Nothobranchius furzeri: one gene and its partners. The protein of the gene in region 3 binds, or shares a complex with, the protein of the main gene of each other region. Links are inferred from orthologs where the notes say so. Each region holds a gene or a part of one and is shown on either strand. Other genes may lie near its edges.

Region 1 (4,173 bases), on a different chromosome or scaffold from region 3:
GCGTAAAAAAAATTAATTAATTAATTAATTAAATAAATCTATAAAACGGGATCTTGCAGGCGTGGCGCTGGGATTTTAGCTACGCCTATGTAAGGGAAACACTGGACCAGATGTTCAGGGCATTTCGTCTCGTGCATTATGCCACAGTTATAACTGTTTGACTTGTCTGTTCATTGTTTTCTTTTTCTCTTCGACTACAGGAAATGGGTTATTGATAAACATATTGATAAAATCCATGACACACAGTTACGACTCCCAATAGAGAAATGCACCTGGTAAGATTTTAGCATTTCTCTTTGGCACCACTAGAGAAAGCACTTGTACCACAAGACGGTGGTTTGAGATCTGCTAACAGAATGTATTCAGTTCATTTTCTGTTGGAAACATTTTTCTGAATGGACACAAATGTTGCATTTTACCTCATCGACCCCGTCTATCCATTTGGGAGGCAGTTTTTTAGTGACACCAATGGCAGCTTCAGGATCCAGACTGAGGCCGGACACCAGAGCCATGCGGTCATCAGCCATCTCAAATAAAACAAAAATAATTACATTGAAGTGTTTTATATAACAAGATAACAGTGTGACCATGATCCTAGATGTTATGCCTCCAGCAGGAGTTATTAGATTGTGACGTGAAGAGAACTAACAGTACCTCATCAAGCTCCTAATGTGATTGTCAGAGAGCAGAGTTTCCAGCCAGCACAGAAACACGAAGACAGGAAATAAAAGGAACAACAGATTAAGACCCCGAAAATCAGCAGCAATCCCCCCAAAACAGGGTTTCTGTATTCACTCCTAGCAACTGAAGCTAATGTCAGATCAACAGTATTCACATATGAACAGCTAGTGTAAGTACAGAAACTCTGACACATCGAAACTCCTAAATCATTTTGTGTGAGCAGCAGCAAAATTAGAAAAAGTAATCCAGACTGGATTAGCTGATGAAAAGTTAAAAATAGATTATTTAATTCATTAATTAAAATCCTAACAATCCATTTTGGATGATTACGTCTCTTGTGTGAAAGTATTTGGATTTTAAACAAATAGAACTGTTGCTTTCTAGACCATTTTCTGGTGTTAATGCACAATTTTGACTACCGGTACTTAAAGAGCAAGTCACCCCTTACAAGAAGCATATCACTCCCAATTCATGTTTGAAAAATGCAACAAATGCTGTTGCCTAGCAGGCCGAGAGGGTGGAGCCACTAACAAATACACACACTCACGACATTGTGACATCATAATGTACCAGTTTACATCACAGCATACCTCTTAGCCAATAGCGGTGGCAGATTTAAATTCAAATGCAGTGAAGAGTTTTTACCTGACAACGGCACAACTCTGACAGTTTCAGGCAGAAAATTAAAATTTTAACTAACATGCACTAAAGTGCAAAACTACTGACTACACGTGTCTGTAGCACGATTAGACACACATTTATATAGTTTATCAGAAAAAAATTATTGATTTGGGGGTGACTTGCTCTTTAAAATTCACTGGCTTTGAAAAAATGTTTGTTTGTTTTTTTACTTCTAACAGCAAAACAACTACCATAATAGTTGTCAGATCTGGAAAAACTGAGTATTAAATGTTAAATTTCTGATTTTTCTCTGGTAAATGGAAGCCTTTAAACTGAAAGGACTTTCTCATATGTGTGTGATATCTGAGAAACACATACATCTACAAATATTCACAGCAGAACGTGAATGGTTACGTGTTGACTACAGCTCTGAGCTTCTAGCATGACTTAAGCTGTATTTTCAACATCCAGCAAGAAACCATTTACAGAAAATCTACTAAATGAATTTTTGCATGTTAGTCCTTTCTGACGCCAGTCTCTCCAACAGGCTTGTTATTTTCACAGACAAGGACCCGATTGTGCTAACAAAATGACATTAAAGAATGTTTTTATCAACAGCAGGAAAAGAATGTCAACTTTTGAGTATTTTGGCTCAGCTTTGCTTTTTCTATTTTTATGATTTTACATGTAGCGAGGTAGTATTTCAAGGTTAAAAATAAGTTGATTAGATGCATATTTTTTTTACAAGTTTTTGATCTTATTTAAACTCTTGGTTAATTTCTGTGGTGATTTGGACTAATTAGATCTGGTTTGTTTTTGTTTGCACCCCCAAGTGTTATTGTTTTGTCTCCATGTGTGAGTTGATCTGGGAGACGGTTACTTCAGATAAATAGTGTGAATGAAAAGATCCCGGAACTTACTTAAGATTAATAATATATCCGCTTCAGATGCATGTCACAGACATTTTAATCTAAAATAAACCACAGCACACGTTCTACTAATAAGTAACATACTCTTTATGTCTTCAGCACCTTATTTTAGTTACTATTTAAAGTTATTTTTCCTGTAAGTAATCTATAAAAGATGTTTTCTGCAGCAGGAAATCTGTCCTCCTCTTCCTCATCACCTGAAGGACTCATCCATCTCTTCTGAGGTGAAACTAGAGGCCACATAAACACTGACAGCCCATAATCCGTTCAGATTATTATAGGTCAGCTATTAGAACACTGGTGGGTCTAGCTAGGGGGGCTCGGTGACTGGCTACATGCAAACACACACAGTAAAATGTCAGAACGAAGCAGACCACTCACCGCAGCATTGCTACGTGTACTCAGACGGGGCTCGTTTGTACTCACTTGCTCAGCCAAAATCTGCCGGTTTTGGATCGCATTGTTCCGCATTAACAAGAAGGCATCGGTCAGACGCCTAGTGGCCATGACTGGCTTGCTTGAATTTTAAATTAACCCAGGACAAAGTGCAGGTCAAATGATAAATTTAGCTAAATAACGTCCACTAACGCCGCAGCGGACTTAGCTTCACCTGCGATGAATGAGGGAAAACTCGCGATAAAACGGATGCTGTGGACTTCAATCGAGCTGAGTCACAATGATTTGTTAAGCATGTTTAGTCCTGAAGTAGTGAACGCTGGATAAAACCGAGAATTTCATGAAAAAGGTTGATTTGAAATCCAACTGGTAACGTTATTCCGCTTACAAGGAGCTACGGAAGTGCTAACGTAAACATCTGCGGGCGTAAAGCGCTTCTTCTACGATTTATTAGCCGCACTGTCATCAGCAATGGAGCATGTTATCGCCCCCCACTGCCTCAGAAAATCCATTATATTTGTGATTTATTATTTATTCAATGTGAGTCTATGCTATTTTGTTTTCTAATTTTGTTGTATTTTTGTTAATTTATTGTCTCCTCGTGAGACTCAGTTTATTTTCCGATGTAAACTTTTTTATTTAGTAGTGACACCTCACAGACAAAGGAAATCAATAAAATATATCAAGATCGATCGCTAAATTTTTAAAACATGTTTAAGCTGAACAGAGTAAAAAATTATAGTTCAAGAGGATCAACACCTTTTTGATTAATGTCTTTTGGTTATTGACTCAGCCAACTATAGAAATAATTATAATAATTTAAATAGCTGTGTTTTTATTTGGTGTGTAATCATAACTTTTATGTTTGTTTCAGCCCCCTATTGTGTGTTAAATTAAACACACAATAATTTTAAGTAAGAATGCTTGTGCAACAAAGTAGTTATTTATTTGAAAATGTGTTTGAAAGCACAGATACAAGCGGCCAAAAGAAATTTCTCTGTAAGGTGGTTGGGCTTTCCCTTAGAGATAGTGTGAGAAGCACAGTCATTCCGGAGGGGCTCGGAGTAGATCTGCTGCTCCTCCACATCGAGAGGAGGCAGTTGCCTCCTGGACGCCTCCCTGGTGAGCTTTTCTGGGCGGGTCCAACTGGGAGGAGACCCAAACGAAGACCCAGGACACGCTGGAGAGAGTACGTCTCTTGGCCTTAGGATTATCCCAGAGAGGGAAGTCTGGGCCTCTCTGCTTAGGCTGCTGTCACCGTGACCCGACCCTGGATATGCAAAAGAGAATGGATGGATGGATTTGACATTTTCTTTCTCTTGAATGTAAAAGAGGTTTATAGTAGTCCATACAGCCCTGACCTAAAAGCAAAAAAAGCAACAGGGTGTGAGAGTGAATGTGAAAACAAGCAGAGTCAGGGTATTTTGATTTCAAAGAAAATCCTGGGGTAATTGTTAATGGAGAAGAAATCCCTTGGAAAGAGAAGAACATTTGTGACATTGAGCACAAGTCTAAACATGTATAATTATACATATGAATCTGATAA
Region 2 (3,648 bases), on a different chromosome or scaffold from region 3:
GGTGAGTCTACGCTTTGTTTTGGTTGTTTTGGCGTCGACATCATCCTAGCGCGCAACGTTATGTGACTCTTAAAAAAACTGTAAAAATGGTGAGAAACTCTGGCAGTGAATGAGTTAAATGTGACAAAAGCAAAACCAGGACAAATCTGTAAGGGGGGGGGGGGGGGGGGGGGCGCAAAAAACCTTCATTAATGGAATGAATAATGAAAAAAAGACAACTGAAGCATCGGAGGCTGGGTTTAGCTTCAGCCGGCAGGTTCATCTGTTGCAGAACACCAGCTTGAGGACGTCTGAGACACAAAGACAATCAGAGACGAGGCAGGAAGCCAAAGCAAACAAACAGCATCTGGTGGCGCAACGGCAGCTCAACAGAAACACGTAAGAGTTGCTTTATTCTGTGCTGCAGGACATTTTCTGCGCTGGGGAACCTCGAGACACAAGATAAACACCTCAGGTTTGCTTTTAGTCATTTATATGAGCGTGATTAGTAAAAAATACAGATCCAGGGAGAATCTCTGAGCGACACAGAGATATGTTCACACAAATCCACTTCCTCTTTTGTTGCTTCCAGATGAATTCCCAGCTTTTAATTACTTATTGACTTTCTACGACCACTAAGCGGGTTGAATGGGAACATTTACAATGGTTGTTTACAACAAGTGTGGTAATGACAGCTCAGAATGCCTCGTTAGTAACAGAGTCAGGGTAGAAAATAAAAGCTTTTCACATAAATGTTTTTACCACAACATGCCACATAATTTCTAATGATTATAAAATGTTATCAGCACTTCTGCAGACACTAAAAACGCCCAGCAGCACCTTTAAAAATGTTATTTCCGTTCTGTCGAATTGCATTGAAACATCTGAGAAGGAGGTCTGCACATGGCGAAGAGCTGTCGCTTATTAATACGGGCATGAATCATTTGAAATGAAAAACGAGAATCTTTATGTGTTAGACGTGCAAAATTTGAAGGGCCGTCGTCTGATTGCAAATGTAGCCGTTTGTCTTAGGTTACGACCTCCCAGCTGGCTTCTTCAACTGCAGTCTCGTCGGTATCATGTTCAGGTTTGAAAAGTGTTTTTGAAAAGCTAAAAACCTCCGAGGGTTTTAGAACAAATGATGTTACAACACAAGAAACCGTGTGTGGGGGACAGAGGTGCCGGCTCAGGTGTTGGGATTTTGTGCACAAGTAGTTACCTATATTTGGAATATCGGGTCCTTGATCCTGAGTGAGCTCTTTGTTGTAACGCAGGAAGAGGATGGTGTTTTTAAGGGTCAGAGCGTGATCGAAGTAACGTTGGGCCTCACCCTCAGCCGTGCTCTCCACCTGAGAAAAAAATATCATCTTTTTTGTGTTTTAAAGGGAACATATTACTCTTTAGTTTTAAAGTAGAAAAAAATACGTTAATGAATGGCTTCAGTGGTCTCATAACCACCAGAAGGGGGAGGGCCTGGGCAGGTCACAGCTTGGCTAAAGCCGGGCGGACACTGTGCGACTTTTTCACTCGCAGCGTTCAGCTTCAGCTCAAACTGTACGACTTCCTCGCAGGGCAGATCTCACGAGTCGTGTGCTCACACTGCACGACCCAGTTCTCGCATGCGACCTGACTGCTCACACTGTACGTCTGGTAGCAACACGTCGGCCCTAAAAATGTGCTAAAAGTAGCAGTTTTTACTCAACACGTCAGACTTTTTTGTCTTGTCTTGCCTGTTGTCCTTCGGGAGTGCTGCAGGAGGACACACGGGGATTTATGGGGGTTGGATGAGGAAAACGAAATAAAGAAAGTAAATCTGTGTTTTGTGATCAGTTTAATTTGACATGAACACGACAAACACGCTTTCTTGACAATCTTTATGAGTAAAAAAACGTGTAGAAACAAAAACGAACAGCGTGTGTTATTAGGGAAATAGCGAGCGGTGTTGACGCAGGATTGCGCATGCGCTGTGAGCGGTTCTGATACTTTTTGGGTCGCAGCTGCTCGCAGCGCCGCTTCAACAGTGCGATACCCTCACGAGGGACGAGCGAAATATTAAACACGCCAGAAGTCCGTGCGACCTCACGACTGCTGATCGGTAGCTGATCATGTGGTGTTAATCGCCTCTCGTAACCGCCTGTACACTACACGACGCTCGGCGCAAAACTCGCCCCGATCTCGTGGATTCTCGCACGAGTGGAAAATCGGCTCAAAAAAGTGAAAAAGTCACACAGTGTACGCCCGGCTTAAGCTGGGATGTTGTCGACATGAAGAGAAATTTGGTTTCCTAACCACATTATCTGGGTACTTTAGCTCTATTGGAAGTAGTCCAGTTCAGTTCCACTTCAGCCGGACCAAGTCAATCATTTGGTTTTCTAACACTGACTGTAAACGCACTGACTGACACAAAACAGATGGATGGGATTTTACTCATTCGGAGTATATATAGAGGCAGTAGAGATCCACATGGCAGCAAAAAGGAAGCAAATAGCGAGTTTTGCATAATACGTCCCCTTTAAAAGCAAAGAACGACACCAGGTGAGGCTCTAGTGACAGCTCAACTCACCTTCTCTAACTCAGCCAGGAAGCTGTCAAGGGTCTCATCAGACAGCTTACCCACCTCGAACATGGTGACCGCATGGCTCTTCAGGTTCTGATGGGACAAAAAAATAAATAAATAAAAAATTTTTTGTTCAATTCTGGTTATGAGACTTGGCGGGAGTCCACACGAGGTCACTGACCGGAGACAGGTTTCCCATCATGAGGAAGGCTGTGAGTGTGGAGTCAAAGAGGAAGGCGATCCTCTTGGTGGGAGCAGCAGGGATGCTCAGGCTGCTGACGCTGCCCGTCTCAGCTACAAAGACGTTAAAAAACACATAAAGCAGTCATATGTTAGCAGCTGATTGCAGCTCCATTGTTGCATGCTAAAGTAAATGTAAGGACTCAATTAAAGATGAATTAGTGGATGTGTTGAAATAAATTCTACTTCACAAACAACCCCATCCACCTAAAATTTGGCTTTCCTGGGCATTAATTAGCGGTGCTGCCTCAAACCTTCTGAAGTAGCAATCAGAAAGTGCCCCGTGTGCACGTATCAGCATGCATAATTATCTGCACACGCTGCAGAACCGGCATGTGGACCGTGGAGAGACCTTGGTCTTCCAGGCTGGTGGTGTCGGTGTCTGTGGCTGAGGAGCCTGCCTCCATCACGGGGCTGCCCTGCTCCCAGGACAGCAGCATCTTCTGGGGGTCCATGGTGCTCCTGCAGCAGACCCAAAACATCAAAACAGCACAAGTGGAGTTGTAAAATTAGCTGATTGGTGGACAGGAACGTACCTGAGTCTGTTTACAGACGGAGCGTTCTTCCAGCTGGGGTGCAGCTGATCGGAGCTGAACACCTGACCTTTCTTCACAGCAAAGCCGAGGCGACAGTACATGGAGACGGCGTTCTGATTGAACGGAAACAAGGATAAACGACGCTCAATCCCAAGTGAACCCCATCAGAATGAAACCCCAAAATACAGATTATTAACAAAAGGCCAACTTACCCTTTTCTTACTTTTTGGTTTTGATATATTTTAGATATTTGAAAACAACAATTTAAAGCTCATATCTGCTTCTTTCGTCCAGTCCTAACCACTAGCCAAAACAAAACAGAATGAAGAAAAACGC
Region 3 (3,648 bases):
ACTGCAGATGCAGCACCAATCCACCTATCGATCTCACGCTCCAGCTTCCCCTCACTCGTGAACAAGACCCCGAGATACTTAAACTCCTCCACTTGGGGCAGGACCTCATCCCTGACCCGGAGAAGGCATTCTACCCTTTTCTGAATCAAGACCATGGTCTCAGATTTAGAGGAGCTGATTCTCATCCCAGCTGCTTCACACTCGGCTGCAAACCGCTCCAGCGAAAGCTGAAGATCACGTTCTGATGAAGCCAACAGGACCACATCATCTGCAAAAAGAGACCTGATCCTCAGGCCACCAAAACAGAAATGGTAAATGGTAAATGGCCTGTATTTGATATAGCTCCTTCTGGAGCCCTGGAACCCCCCAAGGCGCTTTACAACACAATCAGTCATTCACCCATTCACACGCTGGTGGGGATGAGCTACGATGTAGCCACAGCTGCAGCTGGGGTGCACTGACAGAGGCAAAGCTGCCGAGCTCTGGCACCATCGGTCTCTTCGACCACCACCAGCAGGCAAGGGGGGTTAAGTGTCTTGCCCAAGGACTCAACGACAGCGACAAACTGAGCGGGGCTCGAACCTGCAAAACCACATTGCTCCTCCTGAATCTGAGGTTCAACAATCCGACGGACCCTCCTCTCCAGAACCCTGAATAGACCTTACTAGGGAGGCTCAGGTGTGTGATCCCCCTGTAGTTGGAACTCACTCTGCGGTAGGGGGACCACCACCCCAGTCTGCCATTCCAGTGAAACTGTTGCCGATGTCCGTGTGATACTGCAGAGCCGCATCACCCAAAACAGCCCTACGACACCCAGAGCCTTAAGGAACTCCGGGCGGATCTCATCCACCCCCAGAGCCTTTCCACCAAGAAGTTTATTGGCAACCTTAGTGACCTCAGCCCCAGAGATTAGAAAGTCCAACCCAAAGTCCTCGGACTCTGCTTCCTCAATGGAAGACATGTCGGTGGAATTGAGGAGGTCTTTAAAGTATTCCGCTCACCGATCCACATCGTCTTGAGTAGAGGTCAGCAGCACACCGTCCCTACTATAAATAGTGTTGGTAGCGCACAGCTATCCCCTCCCAAGGCGCCGGACGGTGGACCAGAAGCTCCTCGAAGCCGTGCGGAAGTCTTGCTCCATGGTCTCACCAATCAGCTGCCTCTGGAGTCCCACTGGCAAAAAAGGCCCGATAGGACTCTTTCTTCAGCTTGACAGCATCCCTAACCATCGATGTCCACCGGCGGGTTCGGGGGTTGCCGCCATGACAGGCACCAACGACCCTGCAGCCACAGCTCCGGTCGGCCGTCTCAACAATGGAGGCATGGAACAGGGCCCATTCGGACTCATTGTCCCCCGCCTCCCCCCAGAACATTTTGGAAGTTCTGTCGGAGGTGGGAATTAAAGGTCCTTCTGGAAACTCTGCCAGACATTCCCAGCAGACCCTCGCAATAAGTTTGGGCCTGCCTGGTCTGACCGGCATCCTCCCCCACCATCTGAGCCAACTCACCACCAGGTAGTGGTCAGCTGACAGCTCCGCCCCTCTCTTCACCCGAGTGTCCAAGACATGCCACCGCAGATCAGATGAAACAACAACAAAGTCGATCATCGAGCTGCGGCCTAAGGTATCCTGGTGCCAAGAGCACATATGGACACCTTTATGTCTGAACATGGTGTTCATTATGGACAATCCATGACTGGTACAGAAGTCCAATAACAAAACACCACTCAAATTCAGATCGGGGGGGCCGTTCCTCCCAACCACACCTCTCCAGGTCTCACTGTCGGTGCCCACGAGAGCGTTAAAGTCCCCCAGCAGAACGAGGGAGTCACCGGAAGGAGCGCTCTCCAGCACCCCCTCTAAGGGTGGGTAGTCTGAACTGTAGTTTGGTGCATAAGCACAGACCACAGTCAGAACCCGTCCCCCCCCACTTAGGCAGTGGGAGGCTACCCTCTCATTCACCAGGGTAAACCCCAACGTACGGGAACCAAGATGGGGGACAACTAGTACGACCGCCCCTGCTCGACACCTCTCAGTGGGAGAAACTCCTTAGAAAATATAAAACATCATTAAATAAAAACAATTCCAATACTGCTTGTGTTTATCTATGAGCACCTCTCAACTGCAGAAATCTCGACTCCAGCTGAATTGTTGCTCCCAAATTTGAATGTGATGAGCTCAGGGTGCTTCTTTTTAGAGGTGATCTTCACCACAGAGCTCAGCGCTTGTCTGGACTGGATGTAGGCAAATCCCTTCCTGGAGGCAATCTCCCTCAGGCAGTACATGTGAGTCGCTGTGATCAGCAAGTGACTGAAATAGAGACGAGATTTCAAGAGACAAGAGATTTCCCACTTCCTCAAGTCTAACAGAAGCTGAAAGACGTGTCAGAGCTTCCTGTTAGCTTTCTTCCTAATTCCACACCAACAGGAAGTTGAGCAGCTCACCTGGGGAACATGTGACCCGTCTCTTTCACCTCATTACATGGGATGTGATGTTTGACATCCGGCTTGCTTATCCAGGTCTGAATGTTTACGATCTCCTTCCTGTCATCGTCCGACATGGAAGAGCTGTCGATCTCATCTGGGAAACATAAAAAATCCCGTCAACTGGTTTCACAAAAAGCCGAACGGGCACATTTCCAACTGTACTGGTTCTTCACCAGTGTCATACTCCTCTTCATCACCAATACTGAAGACGGGCTTCACCCCTCTGTAAGGTTTGCCGACTCGGTCGCTGCTGCTCACGTGTCTGTTTACGACAAAGGCAGTTATCAGCATTACTGGTACGGTGTAGGGAGCTGAGATGGTTAAAAACCAGTGTGAGCTTGCAGACAAACGGCAATGACACGGAGAGCTCAGGCTGCAGTGAAAATCATGAGCCCACTACAGATTATGCTGGTAAACACAAGAGGAGACACTTTTAGTTCACGTCAGAATCAACACATTAGTACTTGTATGATATTCCGGGCCACATGCAGCAAACTGCAGCGTTTCTAACGTTGTGTTCAGCCCTGGCTGTCACGTCAGCAAACAACAATGAAATGGAAAGACAGTTTAGAGCATCTCAAAGGCAAAGGCCAGGCGTGTCCTAGAGCTTCTCAGCCACTTGTTTCGTTTTTAAAAAGAGAACTAGACCACAGCCTTAGGGACGTCAGGATGTACGGATGAGTACTTGCATGTTGCAGCAGCTCCACATGTTGTTAGTGAAAGCATGAAACAAAGACCGTAGACACAGGCTGCTCTCGGCGTGTGGAAAGTGTGCTGCTGCTGCTGTTATGAGTGAGCGGATTAGGAAGATGCTGCTACGAGACATGCTTTCATGTAGAAAAGAGGACCGGTGCAAATCTAAAGCCAGTGGGCATGCTGGTGAGGAATGACTCAATGTTTGGGAGCTCTTACCGATCTTGGACCACCTTCTCTGGCCAGGGCAGATTGAAAGTTATTCTAGTGTGGAATAAGGCACAGGGGACTTTATTTTGTCTTGCATTACAACGAAGCTGTGGTATTATTTTTAACAATCAGAATAATGACAGCCCAGTTCAGTCCGGTTTAAACTCCTATTAAACCCACGGGTGAGTGGTACAGGAAGAGCTCTAAACATGAAGTTCAGAAGGGGAGCGGGTCCCTACCGTTCTACAGGGGTGGAGGTG

The links.
Region 1: the proteins of tbc1d23 (region 3) and stx16 are in contact, whole or in part, in a crystal structure (PDB 8QQF), measured with the Homo sapiens proteins. The link is inferred for Nothobranchius furzeri from reciprocal best matches to the Homo sapiens genes TBC1D23 and STX16. Residues at the interface, in NP_001186127.1 of Homo sapiens: Leu638, Asn639, Ser640, Val641, Val642, Lys643, Ile644, Thr645, Ser646, Lys647, Lys648, Ser661, Ser662, Ala663, Ile666, Thr683, Lys687, Ile690, Met691; in NP_001001433.1 of Homo sapiens: Asp209, Asp210, Asn211, Thr212, Leu213, Tyr214, His215, Arg216, Phe218, Thr219, Glu220.
Region 2: the proteins of tbc1d23 (region 3) and fam91a1 are in contact, whole or in part, in a crystal structure (PDB 8JJ9), measured with the Homo sapiens proteins. The link is inferred for Nothobranchius furzeri from reciprocal best matches to the Homo sapiens genes TBC1D23 and FAM91A1. Residues at the interface, in NP_001186127.1 of Homo sapiens: Arg533, His534, Val535, Ser536, Ser537, Asp539, Val541, Gly542, Lys543, Pro544, Tyr545, Arg546, Val548, Pro550, Val551, Phe552; in NP_659400.3 of Homo sapiens: Arg49, Glu60, Arg61, Tyr64, Asp84, Ile85, Lys88, Gly89, Leu90, Arg91, Ile92, Thr93, Phe95, Ser96, Ile159, Pro161, Tyr176, Ile177, Thr178, Glu179, Asp181, Ile182, Lys190, Asp194, Ile197, Asp198, Tyr216, Asn217, Lys218, Gly219.

The regions. Positions count from the first base shown.
Region 1 is NC_091743.1:50,491,905-50,496,077, forward strand, and holds the start of stx16 (syntaxin-16), read right to left. Parts: upstream 2,942-4,173; 5' UTR 2,739-2,941; coding exon 2,613-2,738; intron 881-2,612; exon of another isoform or gene 667-880; coding exon 655-666; intron 528-654; coding exon 420-527; intron 1-419. UniProt on the Homo sapiens protein: SNARE involved in vesicular transport from the late endosomes to the trans-Golgi network.
Region 2 is NC_091759.1:177,242-180,889, forward strand, and holds part of fam91a1 (protein FAM91A1), read right to left. Parts: intron 3,426-3,648; coding exon 3,313-3,425; intron 3,239-3,312; coding exon 3,129-3,238; intron 2,831-3,128; coding exon 2,718-2,830; intron 2,630-2,717; coding exon 2,543-2,629; intron 1,329-2,542; coding exon 1,199-1,328; intron 1-1,198. UniProt on the Homo sapiens protein: As component of the WDR11 complex acts together with TBC1D23 to facilitate the golgin-mediated capture of vesicles generated using AP-1.
Region 3 is NC_091756.1:62,664,262-62,667,909, forward strand, and holds part of tbc1d23 (TBC1 domain family member 23), read right to left. Parts: coding exon 3,628-3,648; intron 3,443-3,627; coding exon 3,398-3,442; intron 2,748-3,397; coding exon 2,659-2,747; intron 2,580-2,658; coding exon 2,444-2,579; intron 2,310-2,443; coding exon 2,115-2,309; intron 1-2,114. UniProt on the Homo sapiens protein: Putative Rab GTPase-activating protein which plays a role in vesicular trafficking. Involved in endosome-to-Golgi trafficking.